Linked DNA regions of Cricetulus griseus. The protein of the gene in region 1 binds, or shares a complex with, the protein of each later gene. Links are inferred from orthologs where the notes say so. Each region holds a gene or a part of one and is shown in the gene's direction. Other genes may lie near its edges.

What was found.
Region 2: Akap13 (region 1) and Map2k3 share a complex: the UniProt entries of both Homo sapiens proteins name them as parts of the signaling complex. The link is inferred for Cricetulus griseus from reciprocal best matches to the Homo sapiens genes AKAP13 and MAP2K3.
Region 3: Akap13 (region 1) and Mapk14 share a complex: the UniProt entries of both Homo sapiens proteins name them as parts of the signaling complex. The link is inferred for Cricetulus griseus from reciprocal best matches to the Homo sapiens genes AKAP13 and MAPK14.
Region 4: Akap13 (region 1) and Pkn1 share a complex: the UniProt entries of both Homo sapiens proteins name them as parts of the signaling complex. The link is inferred for Cricetulus griseus from reciprocal best matches to the Homo sapiens genes AKAP13 and PKN1.
Region 5: Akap13 (region 1) and Map3k20 share a complex: the UniProt entries of both Homo sapiens proteins name them as parts of the signaling complex. The link is inferred for Cricetulus griseus from reciprocal best matches to the Homo sapiens genes AKAP13 and MAP3K20.

Annotation. Positions count from the first base shown.
Region 1 is NC_048596.1:121,808,156-121,812,372, reverse strand, and holds the start of Akap13 (A-kinase anchor protein 13), read left to right. Parts: upstream 1-1,408; 5' UTR 1,409-1,493; coding exon 1,494-1,529; intron 1,530-4,217. UniProt on the Homo sapiens protein: Scaffold protein that plays an important role in assembling signaling complexes downstream of several types of G protein-coupled receptors.
Region 2 is NC_048600.1:74,934,543-74,938,058, forward strand, and holds part of Map2k3 (dual specificity mitogen-activated protein kinase kinase 3), read left to right. Parts: intron 1-431; coding exon 432-483; intron 484-1,537; coding exon 1,538-1,665; intron 1,666-2,018; coding exon 2,019-2,096; intron 2,097-3,516. UniProt on the Homo sapiens protein: Dual specificity kinase. Is activated by cytokines and environmental stress in vivo. Catalyzes the concomitant phosphorylation of a threonine and a tyrosine residue in the MAP kinase p38.
Region 3 is NW_023276806.1:233,854,967-233,858,188, forward strand, and holds part of Mapk14 (mitogen-activated protein kinase 14), read left to right. Parts: intron 1-2,281; coding exon 2,282-2,455; intron 2,456-3,222. UniProt on the Homo sapiens protein: Serine/threonine kinase which acts as an essential component of the MAP kinase signal transduction pathway.
Region 4 is NC_048596.1:160,724,485-160,728,000, forward strand, and holds part of Pkn1 (serine/threonine-protein kinase N1), read left to right. Parts: intron 1-2,499; coding exon 2,500-2,651; intron 2,652-3,152; coding exon 3,153-3,288; intron 3,289-3,516. UniProt on the Homo sapiens protein: PKC-related serine/threonine-protein kinase involved in various processes such as regulation of the intermediate filaments of the actin cytoskeleton, cell migration, tumor cell invasion and transcription regulation.
Region 5 is NC_048599.1:102,878,399-102,882,437, reverse strand, and holds the start of Map3k20 (mitogen-activated protein kinase kinase kinase 20), read left to right. Parts: upstream 1-1,237; 5' UTR 1,238-1,383; intron 1,384-4,039. UniProt on the Homo sapiens protein: Stress-activated component of a protein kinase signal transduction cascade that promotes programmed cell death in response to various stress, such as ribosomal stress, osmotic shock and ionizing radiation.

The DNA of each region.
Region 1 (4,217 bases):
AACATTGATGATATAGCAACTCATCAAAGAGAAACAGGAAATTGTCATGTAGGTTGCTATTTCAAAAGGACAAGTACTTAGCTTCTCTGTAAGCCCAGCTTTCTGGGTACATTGTTAATAAATTTTGAAGCCCCTGTTAAGATTTGTATTATTGAATGTAGCAGCAGTTATGTTACCAGTAAATGGTGATTTTCAGAGGATCACTCTGTTACTAGAGCTAGTAATACTTCATACTATGTTTCACAGTACTTTCTATGTCATTTTGAATTTTCACAGGTTCTTTGTGTGGACATGGATAATTAAGGCCACATCTGCTTTGTAGTGGAAGCAGTATAGGTCATGATGCAAATAGAACTGATAAGATCCCACAGGTTTTTTGAATTTGCCCGAGGACTGCCTATCGAAACTACAGCAGTCTTTTGACTTCAACAATTGGCAGTTTAAAGATCCCTAGCTATGGGTGGTGCTATGCTGGGTTGGTGGAATGCTCCGTAATAAATGAGTTCCAAATATATTGTTACTTGCTTTGAAATACCACCCCCCCCCCCACAACACACAACCACCACCACTGAACCGTTTAGCTTTCAGGATTTGTTTCTGGCATTTGTTTGTATGGTACCCTGCCTTACCCTTTGCCCTGCTGTGGAACCCATCATGCCTCTCTTGTGTCTCCACTGTGCTTCACAGACCACTTAACACTTCTAACACTTTAGATGCATTTTTGTGGATGTGTTTTCCCCATTTACTCGGTTGCACATTCCTTAAGAGTTGAGGGCAGCACTTGAAATTTGTTTCTATTGCCTTCTTCAGTTTTACTTGTGCTTCTATATCTCAGTGCCTTTCGAATAGGCATGGTAGTTTTGGTTAAATGTTCTCAAGTAGAATTCCAAGTCATCCTCAGGAAAGAGCTTTGCCCCATGTGTGAATAAATAATTGATCATCTGAAGAAAAGGTTAGGATTTATGTCCTCAAAAGGAAGATCAGTTAAGATATGAAACTGCACAGGAGAACTTTGTGATCTGGAGCAAGTGACAGAGTGTTATTTTGTTTTGATCTCTTTGGTGGGGTCCTTAGTGAGAACTCGGGACTGACAGTGCTTAACTGGCGCTTTAGCTAAACTTCTGTCCTGTATCTCTGTTATTTACTTGGAACTTTCTGTGTGTGCTTTCTTAGTAATCTTGTTCTACTTCTCTGACAAAGCAATGAATTAGGAGTTTTCTTATTTTATGGAAGGAGAAATTGGGCTAAGATTTATATTTTAAAGTTACCAGTCTTTGATTGAAGATTCAAGTTTTTCATTGCTTCTTTGAGACTTGCTTTGTCACTTGAGATGAGACTATTAATATTCTGTTTTTTAATTAAAGTTTTTATCAATGTGTTTGTTTGACTATATGTCAATTGAATACAGGTATCTGAAAAAGCCAGAAGAGGGCATCAGCTTCCTTAGACCTTGAGTTACAGGCAGATGTGAGCCACCCAAGTGTCCAGCATGGATGCTAGGAGCTACACTCAAGTCCTCTGTAAGAACAGTGAGTGGTCTTAACCTCTGTTAAGCCAGCTCTTTAGTTTCCTTGTCCTTGCTCTTAAAAATTATTTATTTATGTATTCATTCATTCATTCATTCATTCATCTGTTTAATTTGTGTATATAGGGACGTAAGTGCCACAGCATGTCCATGGAGGTCAGAGGCAACTTGTAGGGTCAGTTCTCTCCCTTAATATGTGGGCTGGTGGGATCCAGCTCAGGTCTGCAGGCTTGGGAGAAAACACCCTTACTTGCTGACCCATCTCCCTGGCTCTGTTTCTCCTTTTTAAACCAAGAAAAAGCTGTTGGCTCTTGTATATCCTTGGAGCCCTCCACAAAACTCTGTTTGGATTAACTGCTGACCCCATGTGATATACAGAGCATCTGGCAGCTGGGGTGGAATTCTCAGCTGTCTCTTTTTGTTTTGTCCACAGAAGGAAATGTGAGTTTTATCTTACGGTACATTCCTTTTTTGGTTCATGGGATCCTCCAATCTGGTTGTGGGCTCATTTCCTACCTTTGTTTTGTTGTTATCTTGCATTTGTTTGGAGATCAGGAATGAACTTAACCTACTCTTAATGAAGGTAGAATTATGAGGTACCTCTGGCATTCCAAAATTCTACTTTGAGGTTTTGCTGACATTGTCTAGTTCATTCTTGTTGTATGAAGTGAATCCAGGCAGCAGATCCTAAGACGTTAGCTCTGCAGTTACTTATCTTTTCTGCATGAAGCCTGCTTTCCAGTTCTCAGTGACATTTATTATTCTTCCCACATGTAAGGGTATGATTTATACATTGTCTGCATATTACTCAGAATTAAAAATGTTTTTACTTCTTGGTTAGAAGAGAAAGGATGTTTGAAGACATGATACACTGAGGCTCCACCATAGTTTTTCTGCTTAGTATAGAGTTGGGAATGCTGATTTTTTTTTTCCAGTTGTAATGTATTTGTGTATTTGCATGTGAGCATGCAGGAGGGAGTGGCCGAGAAGAATATTGTATTGCAGTAGTAATCATATGCACCTCTGATTATTTAGCATCTGCAAGTACTTACATGGTGTGCTGTGCTTCTTTATTTTTTTGTGTAATCCTAATAACTTCATGAGATGACTGCTCTCCTTAAAGAAGAGACAGTGTCAGAACACCTGTGTCACTTGGTGGACCGTGAAGCTAGCAAGGAGTAGAGTTAGAACTCAAATCTGGTCTCCCATCACCCCCAGGAAGTTAGCAATTCATTGCTGTTCTTACATTGTTAACCACCTGACCAGATTTTTGGAAACTTCTGTGCTTTCTAGTGTGTGGGAGGGGGTAGCTTAGAAGCTTGCTGAACTAGCTTCATTGATGACTTTGGAGGTGAAGCAAGACAATCAAAGACAATAAATAACCTAGGATGCTATTAGGTAGCTGAGAGCTGGGTGAGTACAGCAGCCAAGCCAGTCAACTCTTTTCAGTCAGCGTCAGAGTGAGTGACAAGAGTGCTTAAGTATCCTGGTCCCAGGGCGGGGAAGACAGAGAGGGGTCAAGAGTTAAGAAAGGCTGGTAGCTTTCAGCTCTTTCCTTGAAATTCCAAATGAAAATAATTTAAAAAACAAACAACCCAATGATGTTTCCTGCATTTTAAGCAAATATCTGATCCTGTTTCAGAAGGAAGAATGTCTGAATGTTGACTTAATTATTTGAGCAGTTCCATATGGTTATGAAAAAGTCCTGAGAGATGGAGAAGTTGCTTAAAAAAAAAAAAAAAAAAAAAAAAAAAAAGCCCACCAGAAAATCTGAGTCCAGCACCCTCCAAATAGTTTAGCAGTACTCATTTAACAGCAACAGACCGAGAAGTGAGCCGCATACAGCAACAGAAAGAACTTGGAAGAACTTTAAGAATTCCATTCTCTTAAGAGACACCTCTTACTATATGACTTACATACATTAAATGTTTTCCAAGCATTTGTATTTTGTTTCCATTTCATCTTAAATCTCAAAATTCTTATGTTTGGGGGAAGAAATAGCTCTTTCACAGAGAAAGAAACAGATTTATTGGGCGCCATCTGCTGGTTTTGTCTCAGTAGAACAAAGATGTGAAGCCTACAAATCTATGCATTTGCTTCTGTCTTGGAAGACAGTAGTATTGTTTAAACTGACTTCTGTTAACATTGAAGAGTGGGATACCTTTAACTGAAATATTCATGAACATGTTAAAAGAAGATTGATGAGTGGATTTAATTGGGCATTGTCATTATCTGTCAAAAGAGATACGTCAAAGAAAATTGTATGATTTTCTACCAGTGAAATCAACCCTAGTTGGTATGAAAATCAGCAAATTCCTCCGTTGATTCCTGTTTATGTTGTTAAGGAAAGTTAAGGGCTTTGCTTGCTTTTGGACTATGTCTGAGTATTTTTCTTTTAATAGAGTGGGTACTATAGATGAGTGATCCTGTTGTAGTTTCTTATCAGGGGTGTTTTTGAGCCTTGCTTCTTTTTAACTGTCATTTTATGGACTTGAGCTGAAGTCTTTCATTCTCAGAGCATTACATTTTAGATCTTTTGATTTCTCATACAGTTATCTCACATAAGATGCACTGTGGAGGAAGATTGTTTGCAGAATGGAGTTAAGAATTCATTTATCCAGCATACATTATTGAGCACTTACAACAACTCAACACACTTATAGGCACAGATACAGCATTGAATAAAACAAGT
Region 2 (3,516 bases), on another chromosome or scaffold:
GTCTACTGTTTCTAGAGGAGTGCAGCAACTCTGATTTGAATGTTGCTCCAGCGGGGAGGGGTGGGGGCAGTAGAATCAAGGATGCCCTTTAATCCTGTTTGCACCTGGAAGCGCTTAAACCATCCCATGCCTCCAGCTCCTCTCGTTCCTAGTCCCCAGAGGTAGCTCCACTAAGGGAGTGAGAGAAACCTGGGGGCCAGGTAGATCTTGGCGATGGCCCTTGGGCAGCAGCACTGTTTGGGATTTATGGAGTGAGAAGAAGGGCAGGAAGCCATCAAGTCTGTCCTAGGACAGTCAAATGGGCACATCTGGGGTGTGGGCAGGAGCTGGGTGACTGGCTGGGACGTGTTTAGAGGAGATGGGGTTTGCTACCTTATTCTCAGTGGTGTTACCTGGAATAACAGCAGTTCTGCCTCTCCCACCCCATTCAGATCGTGCGGGCCCTGGAGCATCTGCACAGCAAGCTGTCTGTGATCCATAGAGGTCAGTGTCCTTCACCAGCCCCTGAGGCCTGGTGGGCGGGGGACAGCCTATGGGACACCTTGTGGGGCTTGACTCACTTTTTCTGCATTTGGCTCTGCAGTGCTCAGAACAGGAGGAATTAACTGGATTCCCACTTTTCCTGGGCTCCACTGCCTACTTTCTCATTCTTATGTGCAGTCCATGTGCTGTAAAATATCTAGGTTGTGGCATGTCACTCCGGGGATCTGATCCAAGCTCCCTCTTACCCGCCACGCAACCATCCTGAGCTTTTCTGGCCTCCTTTTGCCCTTGTGGCCACTAGTCTGATTTTTCCCCTCCAGGTTTATAGTTATTAAGAATCAGACTCCTGTCGGGTAGTGGTGGCATAGCCTTTATTCCCAGCATTTGGGAGACAGAGGCAGGCAGATCTCTGTGAGTTCGAGGCCAGCATGGTCTACAGAGCTAGTTCCAGGAAAGCCAAGGCTGTTCCACAAAGAACTCCTGTCTCAAAAACCAAAACCAACCAACCAAACAAACAAAAAAATGAGCCTCCCACTGACTTGGTTGCACTGCACTTAGTGTCACTACTCGTCCCAGTTCTGTCCTCAAGTCATCATTGTTGGCCCTTTGGCACGGAACCTTCCTGTCCTTTTCTGTACACCTTTGTCTTTACACATCCACGTGGATCTTTGCTTGGAGCTTCCTGTGTCCTGTGAGGCAGGGGATGGGGCTCCTTATTTGCACACACAGACCCATCCTCACACCTTCACCTGCACTGTTGTTCACCCACTCACTACCTTCTGCTTGCCAGCTTTGTGTCTGTAGCAGGTAGTATGCATGAATAGTCTCTAGGTAGTGTCTACAGGGCTCTGATGTTTCTCTTTGGTAGGGATAAGCTGAGGTGCATTCTGACTCATTGTCTGGCTATGTGATGGGGCCTGGTACTGCACATCTCATTGCCTCTGCTTCCTTGCCCTATCCTTGGGGCATTGGGTAGCCTGCTGCTGGACCACAGGCCACTGGAGGGGCAGCATCTCACTTGGTATAGGCTGAGAAGGGTATGCTCTACTTGTAGATGTGAAGCCGTCCAATGTCCTCATCAACAAGGAGGGGCATGTGAAGATGTGCGACTTTGGCATCAGTGGCTACCTGGTGGACTCTGTGGCAAAGACAATGGATGCTGGTTGCAAGCCTTACATGGCTGTAAGTGGGGGCATCCTGGCTAGGTGGAGGACAAGACAAGATTCTGAATCTATGTAGTGGGCTGTGTTTTTTTTTTCTTCAGTTGTACCCTCCTCCATAGGGACCTTGCCACCATTTACCTGCACTCCATGATACCTGTTTGGATGAACTTGTAGTCTGTAGAACCTGTGAACCCTGTTTTCCTTAGGACTGGGGGGCCTGGTGGGAAGGCAGGGATTGGCTCTGGCTCTTGTTGGCTTATAGCTTACAGGCAGGGGAACCTAATGGCACTCCGTTTTGGAATAGACAAGAAAAGGTCTAATGGAAGGAGCCTTGGCTGGTTGGGTCTTCAAGCCCTCTAGTCTCTCTTGCAGCCTGAGAGGATCAACCCTGAGCTGAATCAGAAGGGCTACAATGTCAAGTCTGACGTCTGGAGCCTCGGCATCACCATGGTACTGTCTGGGTTGGAAGTGCAGCACTTGCTGGTCCAGTGGGGTGGAGTGTGTCTGTGTTGGGGTCTATGGGCGCCAAGTAGTTTAAATCCAAGAAAAAGAGTTGGTTTCAGTGTTCAAGAAAAAAAAAAAAAAAAGCATCGTCAAACATTCCTTTTTGGGTGAGAGGACATTTGGGAGTTACAAGACCTCTTTCCTGATGGTTCCATTTAACCATCATGAATGTTCTCTGTATTCTGTGATGTCAGCCTTTCCCCTATAGCCATTGGTGTAGAGCAAGAAATCCCAGCTGATGCTAAGTATAGTTCTTGCCATGCAAGTGATTTCCAAATCAAGAAGTTAAACTGTTAGCTGGGCACAATGGCACCCTCCTGTGCTATGGTAGCACCCTTTTGTAATGTGATACTTTGGAAGGCAGAGGCAAAAGGATCAGGGAGTTCAAGGTTATCCTCAACTTCATAGTGAATTTGAGGGACACTGTCTCAATACCCTTCCCAACACTCAAAAAAAAAAAAAAAAAAAAAAGATTGAGGGTTTTTTTTTTTTTTTCTTCCACACCAGGAACCTGTTGCTGTAGGCTCCTGTTGTATTTGTCTATGCTTAGGCTCTGTAGGGTGAGGCTCTGGATCCTGGCCCTGTGAAGGCTGAAAGGATCCTTGGCTTGGAGGGAGGGCCAGGGGCCAGGCTATGAGGATTGAGTTGTACAGATAAATCTAAGTCCAGGGTGTAGGGACGGACCTCTGCCTTCTTGAACTGCCTCACAGAAAGTTTTAATTCACCTATTGATGTGATAAAACACAATAACCAAAAGCACCCTGGGGAGGAAAGGGTTTATTTTGACTTACCCCTCTCAGATCACACCCCTTCACTGAGGGAAGTCAGGAGCATAGCACAGTAGAAGCCATGGAGGATGCTTATCGGCTTGCTACTCCTGGCTTGCTGGCTCTGTTTTGTTACATCACCTAGGACCACCAGCCCAGAGGCTGAGCTGAATACCTGCAGTGAGCTGGGGCCTCCCATATCAATCATCAATCAAGAAAATGCTCAAGCTTGCTTACAGGCTTTTCTTAATTGAGGTTCCCTCTTCCCAAATGATTCTAGCTTGTGTGGAGTTGACATAAAACTAGCCAGCACAATGTTACAATGAAGTTGAATTCTTTGAAGATGGGCACTTTTCTACTGCACCTGTGTATGAAAGTGCCCTGGTACCTTAATTCTTGATATAGCAAGAACAATGTATCTTTAGTTGCAATGACCTTTAACAAAAAGAGACATTCTGACCACCAGGGGTCAGTTACCAAAACATGCTGCCCATTTTCTTGGTTACCGCATGTCTAGTTGTTTTGAGACTCTTCCCATGGTTGATTGCAGGACTTTCAGGTAGGACATTTTTGTTGTTGTTGTTTGTTTGTTTTTGAGA
Region 3 (3,222 bases), on another chromosome or scaffold:
CTTATCTGCCTCAAAAGGATTTCTTCTGCCTTTGATGGAAGTCACACACATCCTGATATGTGTCCCTATTTAAGCACAGACGAGAACCAGCTCCCATGAGTCAGTCCAGACTGCTGGGGAGTAAAATCTGGTGCCCAGTACAGCCTGCTCAATCCAAACACGCAGCGCATTGCCAAGTGCTGGTGGCAGAGGGAACATGCTGTGACCCATAGCTAGTCGTCCCCAACTTGCTAGCTGAACCACACAGCAGTGATATAAATATTAACAGCCCTGTTTTCAGTCACTGGCTTCGAATCACTGCTATTCTCAAAACACCTGAGAGCTCCACCGCCCTTTGATCTTAGTGTTGGCGTCTATGGAGATCCTTGAGATGTCTTTTCCTTGCTTCTGACCTGTTCTCATCTAAGTGCATTGGTCCTAAGATAGTGTAACTTTTTAAGGTAGGGTGGCAGGCACCCACCCATTTGTGTTCAGTATGAAATCAACAGATTTGTAGATGAACATGAAAAGAATATCTGTCTATTCAGGCAGTTCAGCCAGTGCCTCCCAGAATGCTGGGATTACAGGTGTGCACCACCATGCCCAGTGTGTACACTGCTGGGTGTGGAATCAAAAGCCTTGTGCACACTTGGCAAGCACTCTACAAGTTACATCCCAGCCCCTCTTTAAAGCGTGAGGTGACTCATGAATCTGAGCCCACATATGCTTATTTGCTGTTTCCTCTGTACCCTCAAAGCTTGTGCTTCTGTGGGTGACTGTGGAGTTCAGGCTGCAAGATGCATGATCACTCTGATAAGCAGAGGGACATCACCTCTTCAGGAAGCTTTTCTCCTCTTTAGCACCCACAGCCTTCCACTGTGAAGAAATTATCTGGGGCTGGAGAGAGGACTCTTCCAGGGGACCCAGTGCCCTTTTCTGGCCTTCTCAGCCAGCAGGCATGCACTGCTGTGCTCATAGAACTAAAAAGAAAGAACCCTGGGGTCTGAGAGCCTTTCTGTCTCGTTGATAACTGCTTAGGATGGCTTTACCCAAGCAGAACATCCTCCTCCTCAGAATTAGACAGCTCTGTGCCTCCGTCTCTAATGAGGTCATCGCTCTGGGGAGGGAAAAATCAGTAATGCTGAAACCATTATTGAAAGTAACTGATACCAGGAACCAAAATATTCCCCCAGATTACTCACTTGGGGAGAGAGGGGAAAGATCTCAAGATGCCAGTCACCTTTAGCTCCACTGGCTATTGTGCCCACCAGTTCAGAACATCACCTGGGACGTGTTCTTGACCAGTGTGCCTGACATTGTTCCTACCGAAGACTTAGGTCTAATTCTGGCTTTTGATAAATGTAAAGAATATAGGAAGCGGGGTGGGGAGGGGTCCATCCATCAGAGCACAGAGAAGCAGTGGCAGCCTGTGATAGACGATGGCTGCCCGCCTGCAACACATCTGCAGTGTCTGTCGTCAGAGGAGAGCCAGTAAGAAGCAAGGCTGGTGATACAGCCTGTCTGTATCCCAGTGTTGAGGAAGATGTGTTCAAGACCATCCTGGGCTACATAGCAAGGCTGAGGTCAGCTGGTTTCAGAAAGGCTAGAGAAAAGAGAGCCCCATAAGGAAGTCCCAGTTTGAACAAATGTAGGAGACAGCTGTGATGGAGATGTTTTACCACAGACAGGTTTGGGGTTAAAGACAATGTTCTGGTCACGCAGGATGATGTCTGTGTGCTGAAATATTTAGGGTATAAAGTGTCATCTCAATAACCTTAAAACAACTCAGGAGCGACACAGAAATAATGGGGGAAATATGTCAGATGTGGACTGACTGATGCCCCTGCATGGGTCATGGGTGCCCCTCCTGCTTCTGTATTCCAAATTTTCACAGTGAAAGTCTTAAGGATCAGATATCTTTATGTAGTACCTTTTCTTCTGCGACCCTCTGGGAAGCCTTCAATTTGCTATTGTTTGACATTCTGGGTGAATATTTATATTATGCTAGTATGTAATACTAATATGCTAATATAGACTACAATCAAGCTACCTGCCTTGTAGATGGTCTTAGCTGTCGACCTCCAGGCTTTGGCCATAGGGGGCCTCCATTCAGTACAGTTCATTCAGTTGTCACCGTGTGGCCCTGACACTGGAAAAAAAGTTTGTTCACAGCCTGGTTTGGGGGAGTAGATTTTGTTTTGTTTTTGTTCATTTGGAGTGTTTTGTTTCGTTTGAGTTTTTTGAGACTATGTAGCCCTGGCTGTCCAGGAACTCACTCTGTATTTTTCCTCTTGTGTGACAGCTGTGGACCTGCTGGAAAAGATGCTGGTTTTGGACTCAGATAAGAGGATCACAGCAGCCCAAGCCCTTGCACATGCCTACTTTGCTCAGTACCATGACCCTGATGATGAGCCTGTGGCTGACCCTTACGACCAGTCCTTTGAAAGCAGGGACCTCCTTATAGATGAGTGGAAAAGTAAGTTCAAAGGCAGGCTAGGGTGGGTCTCAAAGGGAGCTTGGTTTCAATCTATTCTTGTTTGGTTGCTTTGTTTGTTTTTTGAGCCAGGACTTTTCTCTGTGTTAACAGTCCTAGCTATCCTGGAACCAGCTCTGTAGACCAGGCTGGCCTTGAACTCACAGAGATCCGCCTGCCTCTGCCTCCCAAGTGCTGAAAGGTAGGTGCCACCAACGCAGCTCATTGGACCGAGGGCCTCACACGTGCAACACTCGTGTTCTACCACTGAGCCACATGCGCAGCCCAAGAACTTATTTTTAAAAATATTTTCTGGGCTGAGCAGTGGTGAGGCACACCTTTAATCCTAGCACTTGGGAGGCAGAGGCAGGTGGATCTCAGTGAGTTTGAGGCCAGCCTGGTCTAAAAAGCAAGGTCCAGGAGAGCCAGGCCTGTTATACAGAGAAACCCTGTCTCAAAAAACAAATAAGAAAAAATCTTTTCCGGGTGATTCTCACTTATCAAAAAAGGCTTGGGAAAATAGGGACTCATCAGTGGCAGCCTAGTGTTGTGTACACACCTGTGGGTCAGCACTCAGAAAGTGGGTTAAGAGTTTAGTGTTGCTGGGTGTTGGTGGCGCACGCCTTTAATCCCAGCACTTGGGAGGCAGAGGCAGGCGGATCTCTGGGTTGGAGGCCAGCCTGGTCTCCAGTGCGAGTGCCAGGATAGGCTCCAAAGCCACAGAGAAACCTGTCTCAAAAAAAAAAAAAAAAAAAAAAAAAAAAGAGTTT
Region 4 (3,516 bases), about 39 Mb from region 1:
ACGAACACTAAAGACCCACACACTGTCACCAGTTACTTAAGGACACAGCTATAGTTATTTCTAGACAATAGCTGGGTAACATGCTGTCACATGAAAACCCAGAAACTCATAGTCATATCAATGCCCAATATGGCACACTTGTCACTCTCTTAGCTCTCCACATCATACCAATACAATAGCAGTTATAGACTATTTTTCAGTTGTTCTTTGCTTTATGTATATATACAAAAATATATGTATATATGACAGAGGCAGGTGGATCTCTGTGAGTCAAGGCCAGTCAGAGCTACCTAGTAAAACTTTGCCTCAAAAACAAAAACAAAGCACTTACAACCCAGGTGAGAAAAAGAAAAAAGAGAAACTACTCTAGATAAAAATACTCATATATGAATAAATAAAAATAGCCAGGCAGTGGTGGTGCACACATTTAATCCCAGCATTTGGGAGACAGAGGTAGGTAGGTAGATCTCTGAGTTAGAGGCCAGCCTGATCTACAGAGTGAGTTCCAAGACAGCCAGGGCTACACAGAGAAACTGTGTCTCTAAAAGATAAAATCAAAACAAAACATTTTTATGTTTATTTATGTGTATTGTGTATGCCTGGATGTCTTTATGTATGTCACGCCAGGTGCCTGAGAAGAGGATGGCCCTAGAGCCCCTGAAACTGGAGTTATAGGTTATTGGTTATTATGAGTCACCTGATATAGCCTGTACCACTAAACCCAGTAAAGATTTTTTTTTTTTTTCTCAAGACGGGGTTTCTCTGTATATCCCTAGTTGTCCTGGAACTCGCTCTGTAGACCAGGCTGGCCTTGAGCTCACAGAGAACTGCCTGCCTCTGCCTCTCAAGTATTGGGATTAAAGGTGTGTGCCATCACCTAGCTGTGAGGCGATGTGTGTGTGTGTGTGTGTGTGTGTGTGTGTCGAGACAGGGTTTCTCTGTATTGCTTTGGAGGTTGTCCTGGAACTTGCTCTGTAGACCAGGCTGGCCTCAAACTCAGAGATCCGCCTGCCTCTGCTTCCTGATTGCTGGGATTAAAGGCATGTACCACCAACACCCCGCTAAAAGTTTTATATTTTTTTTAAAAAAATTAATTTTTGGCTTGGCAGCAGTGATGCATGCTTTTGATTCCAGCGCTTGTGAGGCAGAGACCGGCAGATCCTGTGAGTTTGAACTCACTTACAGAGTGAGTTCTAGGACAGCCAGGGCTATACAGAGAAACCCTGTCTTGAAAAAACCATAGTAAATACTAATTTTTTTTTTATTGTGGATAAAGTAAAGTCCTACATGCTGAGGAGCTGACTTAGGCAATAAAATATTTACTGTGTAAACATAAAGACTTGCGTTTGAAGTCAAGGACTCGAGTAGAAGCCAGGTGTGGTGGTATTCCACACCTGGGGGAGGTAGAGACGGGAGGATCTCTGGCTGCACTGCTCAGCCGTACCAGTCAAATCAGAGAGCTCCAGGCTCAGTGAGGGACCATATCTCAAAAAAGGGAGGGAGGAAGAAAGGTGGAGAAAAATTGAGGAACTTACCTGCTGTCTCTCTGGCTTCCATGTATTTACATATGTAAATACACAAAAGGAAACCCACATCATAATTTATCATTGCCAGAGTTCAGTAGTGTTATGTGTGTTCATGCAGCGACAAAACAAGGCCACAGTTCCCTCATCTTGTAGTCAAGATGTTTATGGTCACAGGAACACTAGAGGATACCGAGAGAATTCAGAAGTGCACAGCCAGTGATGCCACCCAGGCAACACAGCAAACATGACTCTAATTTCAGAGTCTGTAGCATAGTCATGACAGCATCCAAGGTTTGCAACCTGTCACCTACACCTAGAGAGACACACTAACCCACAATGACCCCAGAGCTCTTCCACCTGGTTATCATGCCATCTCCAGAGGTGCCCCACCATTGTCCCATCCACAGCAGACTTCCCATATAGCCAACAGGCTCAGCTCCAGCCCCTCTACATATGGCTGTGTCCACTGTTGAGGTCCAATACTATCCCATCAACACTTGGTGGAGTTCAGCCAAGAGTCTTATAAGCCTCTTCTGTAGTGAGTTCTCCCAACCCCACTGTATCACTCTTGAGGTGCAGACAACAGCTGAGCCTTGAAACAGAATCCCAGAAGCCTCTAGAGATCATAACTATGACTGTAAGCTCACACAGACCTCCTAACTACTTTTACATCCACATCTAGGGCACTACACTCCTGCCACCCCCAGGGGGCTTACACACCTTAGGTAGATGGGGGCATTTATTCCAGCTAGCCCTGAAGACCTGCATACCTGGTCACTAACCCACCTTCCTTCAAGCTGGGGGCCCACTCTAGCTTTGAGGGCCATGTGTTTCCTGCCTGTGTACTGACCCCCAGGCTCCTTTTCTGGGATGTACCAAGGCTGGGCTGAGAGCTTCCTATCAGCTGGGGGAAAGTCTCCTGGGTATACTGAAGTGACAACTGTGTGCTTTTCTTCACTCTGTGTTTCTTCAGATGCTTCCCAATCCCTTGGAGAGGGCAGCACTGTCTGCTCATCCACCAACTTGAGTCGGGTGGCTGGCCTGGAGAAACAGCTGGCCATTGAGCTGAAGGTCAAACAGGGGGCAGAAAACATGATCCAGACCTACAGTAATGGCAGCACCAAGGTGGGACCGTGTTCTGAAACATTCCATCCCTGTGACAGGAGGCTGTGTCCCAATTAGTAGCTACTAGTCTGCTTCCTGTCCCTGGACTGGCCTGCTCTAGGCAACTTCTATTACTCCAGTATACCACCATTTGTCTGTGGCCCTGCAGACACCTGCACACAGATGATCTGAGAGCTGAGGAAGATGTAGCTCCAGCTGGTCCAAACTGGGCTGTGGTGTCCTCAGTCCAGTGGAGGTCCAGGCTTTGCAGATGGGGGAGGTGAGGTCCAGAGGACTGGGAGAACATGGTTGGGATTGCAAAGCTCAGCTGTTGGTGGCAGAGCTAGAATTGAAGCCTATGGACTTGTCTTACTGCACTTGTGCTAGAACACTGGGCACAGGTGTTCTTGTTTGCACACATCAATGCTCTGTCTTACCCAAGGCCTTCATGGCATAGCAGCAGGGTTTGGGGGTCAGACTTGAGTTCCCAGTTTTCCTGTCACCTTGCACGTCTGGCTCCAGGACAGGAAGCTGCTGTTGACGGCCCAACAGATGCTGCAGGATAGCAAGACCAAGATTGACATCATCCGCATGCAGATTCGCCGTGCACTACAGGCTGGCCAGTTGGAGAGCCAGGCAGCTCTGGATGAGGCCCAAGGTGAGGCCTTCCCCTGGGCATTGCCTGCCCATCCTCAGTCTCCCAGGGTCGACCTTCACCCCTTAGTGCTCTGCTGTGGAAGGCAAGGAGGCAGGAATTAATCTCACTGTGAGTGGAGCCCATTCCTGCCCATCTCTGACTTTTTTTGTCCCATTCAAAGTTTGGGCTAGGATGGTTGTTGCCAAATGGTACCCTCAGGCCAAGTGCACCTGCTGGTTTGTTTGTTTC
Region 5 (4,039 bases), on another chromosome or scaffold:
TTTTTGAGTAGACAGGCAGCTTCTAAAATTGTTTGATCACCTACAACAGAATTTTTTTTTTTTTTTAGTGTGACAGTTTTCTTCAGTCTTCTCGGTTACCAAGATGTAATTTATTAATCTAAAACCCTCAGCCTTTGTAATAACAGACCAAGAGGGCTTTTAAAAATTATTAGTTTATATCTATCCACCCTTCCACATTCATGTGCTAAACATATATGAACAGTTTTCAAAATTTCTATTTCTCCTTTGGCCTCTCTTCTCATTTCCGTTTCTTGTTTCATCTCTACCTGTTTTTCCTCTCATGACTTCAAAACTCAGCAGGAAGCCAGTTTCCTCTCCCCAGATTGCTATTTCTGTCAATGACACACCATTCTTCCAGTCACCCAGGTCTCAAATCCTGGCATCATCTCTTTCTTCTTTCCCAATCGAATGGGTCACCAATTTCTGTGGCCTCTTTCTGAAACATGTTTCTCAATTCCAATTTCTTTTTTTTTTTTTAAAAAAAAAAAGATTCCATGTTGTACCCTCTCACTCAGGTCCTCGGGGTCCCATCTGTAAGCAGGAAGTGACAGTATCTACCATTTATCCTGTTTCCATCCCTAGGCAATTCTCCAAATCACCTCTAAGATGAATGGAGAGGAAAGAACGTGGCTTAAAATCTTAAGGCTTCTATGCCACGTGCTCCAATAGAAAGCAATGCACTAAAACACAAACACCCATTTTACTCCATTTCAACTTTCCACAATTCTCCAGGTGTGTGAGTGACTAGATTCTAATTCAGAAAATGTCTCCCCTACCTCTTCTCTCCTCCCCCCATCCCCGACCCAGTTCCATCTTCCCCAGTCCATATATATATATATATATATATATATATATATATATATATATATATATATTCCTAAAGCCCGGTGCCACTTTTTATTTTTTTTTTCCACACTTTCAATGGACTCTGTCACCTCAATGTGAAATCGCAGGCACTTTATCTTAAAGTCACCAACCAGAGCAGCAGGTCGTGACTCCTCCTCAAAATTTCCAAAGTACCTGTTTCAACAGATGGTCCCAACTGAGGCACCCGCAACCCTGACTCCATAGAAATCGACTTCCCTTCCGTCCCCTTCCCAGCCAGAGCATCATGCAGCGCCTGGGGTCTGTGTGACCCCGAGCCCGGGCCTTCCCGCTGGGTGTCTGGCCGGGCGTGCCGGGAGGCAGGGCGGCCGGCGGTTCCGCGCCCGGAGGTAGGTGGTGCTGTTGCCGCGACGTCTTCCTCATTGGCGCCGCGCGGAGAGGCGGAATGTTCAACTCCTGACTCCGGCGGAAGCGTGGGAGCAGCGCGGGCCGCCGTCCCCGACCCCCGCCGCCGCTCGCACCCGGCCCGGGAGCCAGGTAGGGGGCTGCGGGGGACTGGAAGGAGGGAGGGAGCACCATCCTGGAGGATCGGCGGGGCCCGGGCCTGCGGGGATCGGGGCAGCGCGGGTGCGGGAGGCCGGGGCTCGGCGGGCGGCTGTCCTCGGCCCGCGCCCGGTGCCCTGGAGCCCCGCGGTCCTCTGCCGCTGGGCCGAGTACGGCTTGGGGCAAGTCCGGGACAGTCCCGTGGGACATTCAGTGCCCGGAAGAGCCCGGCCTGGCACAGCCCGCGGCGATCTCGGGGAGCCCGCGGCGGCTGCCCTTCCCGAGCACCTTTGCCTTCGGTGGGAGCACACGCGGGTGTCGTGGGCGCGGGGACCCTCACCCGGCTCCGCGGTGAGTTCGCCCCCGGCCTCAGGCACGCCTCGCCCCGTGCGTGACAGCTTTCAGAAAAACTTTGATTCTGAACTGCCCAGATGACATGGAACTGTCTGAAAAACAATGGCACGTCATTGTTGGGTTGCTCAAAATGTATGTTTCTCATGCGCCTGGAGATCCTGCATAAGCACTGTTTATGGAGAGTATAATTACTATTTTTGTTAGTTTCGTTAATAATGAAAGCACACCATTTGGTGGCCCGTTCCAGCGATTTCACAATAAGCAGCCTTCATTAATAATGCGTATGAGAACCGTCTTCCAGAATGGATTGAGGCTATCTGAGTTCACACTGTTGTTGAAAGTGTCTTCCTGTTTTACCCCTGAAGTGCTTGTAGCAAATCTTCTGGCTTTCTTGACGGTAGATGAAACCAACTGCCAGGATTTAGTGGATCCAAACCTACCAAAATGTTTAACGATAAAAATAAACAAATGATTCAAGAGCAGACTTCTTTGTTGTAGGCCTGTCTCTACAGTAAAATTTCATTCCTTTCTTGATTTAAAAAAAAAAAAAGTGACTGCTGCATTTTAATTATGGTTTTGGTCGTTTGTAGAGTCTTTGTTTTAGATTCCTGTTACAATTGTGAGAGATTTGGGAGACTGTAAATGAACATGAATTTAGCTTGTTTGGAAAGAGAATTAGATAGAGGAAAAATAGCCCTTTGGAGTACTATGTACTGTTTATTTTAATCTTTTACAATGTAATTTCTACAAGTACTTTTGGGGATTATTTTGGAGGTTTTTTTTTTTAACTGAAGAATGTGCAAGTCAAAGTTTAAGTGGGAAACATTTTGTTGTCTAGGAAAGCAAGTAGATGATTGATCCTTTAGAAGGATTTTTTTTATTTTTGGTTGAGGGGGGTACATAAGAACACATTAAGGGAAGTAATAACCAAATATTAAGCACACAGATTGAGATCTAAAAATGGATGGTCAAAGATCTTGGGAACTGAGGGACCTTCTTGCCAAATAAGGAAACTTGGCAAGCTGCACTGTGTATTTTAAGTTAGTGCAGAGTGAGTGCTATTGGCAATACATTGGCTTGGTGCCTATCTGGGCTAAGCGGTGAAACTGAGTCTGATAGGACCGAAGAATTACAAACAGGACTTACAAAGGGTGTTGAGTGAGGAAGTGAATCATCAGGGGAGACACTGGAGAAATTACAGGGACGTTTTGTGAAAGAGGTCAGATGAAGCTCCCAGAGTGCCCAGCAAAATGGACAGTGGAGTTTAGAACTTGACACAATCAGAGAAAAGTCAGTGAGCTCTTCTGCTGAGCTGGGAAAGGTGTTTGTGGTGATGTACTTTGTTGGAATAAGATAGCCTCTGTGCCCTCAGATGTTGGAAATAAAAGTTGGGATCATTTGTTTTCCATGTTATTATGCACGGGACAGACTGACAAGGGGCGGGGACCGGTCTATCTAAATATAATAGCAGCAGCTGAGACACTTACTGTGGGGAAGATTTAGGCTACTTCCTTTGTGGCTATTAACTTTGGCCCACTACACATAAATAAGCATAGTTCCAGCTGTATCCAAAGAGAGCCATCCGAGCCAGAGCCTGATGGTTTGATTGATCTACTTTTGTGTCCAATCCTCCTAGAGACAGCTGAAGCATTGAGTATAAGAGGAGTTAAGTAATCCCAATGCACTAAAACACCGTGAGAACCAGGAGTCATACATGTAATACTTAACCCATTGACACCATTGCTAATAGAAAACTTAAGCCTCAAAAAAAAAAGAAAGAAAGAAAAGAAAAGAAAATTTAAGCCTCAAATACGAGGATAGTAAGCAATCCAGTCATTACAGTAACAAGAAATGGGTCTGTTTAAAGAGAAAAAGGAAAATTAGGAGGCAGTAAACGATGGAGTAGAAAAAGGGCACACGGTGGAAGAAAAGGAGGTGACCCAAGTTGAATCCCAGTTGTGTCATTTGTAGATCAGGCTTGGCCAATGTTTACACCCTTGGGAGATGGAGATACCTGCATCCTGGGGAGAGGTCTATGAGACAGCATTTGGAAATGCTTGGGCTCGTCCCGGAAGCTCCAGCTACCGTGACTGGGTGCAGAGAGGGCTTTCCCACATTTCTCAAGCCATGTGCTTGCCTCAGCTTTCCCAGGCAAGGCTTGCCTACAGTATTTTGCCCTGTCCTTGTCATACTTAAATGCCTATGCTGAGAGTAGATGGAGTTTACCTAGCCACTCCTTCTTGTGTACAAGGGTTTCCAAAGCAATGCTGTAATACTGTGTTTTGGGGAAGAAACT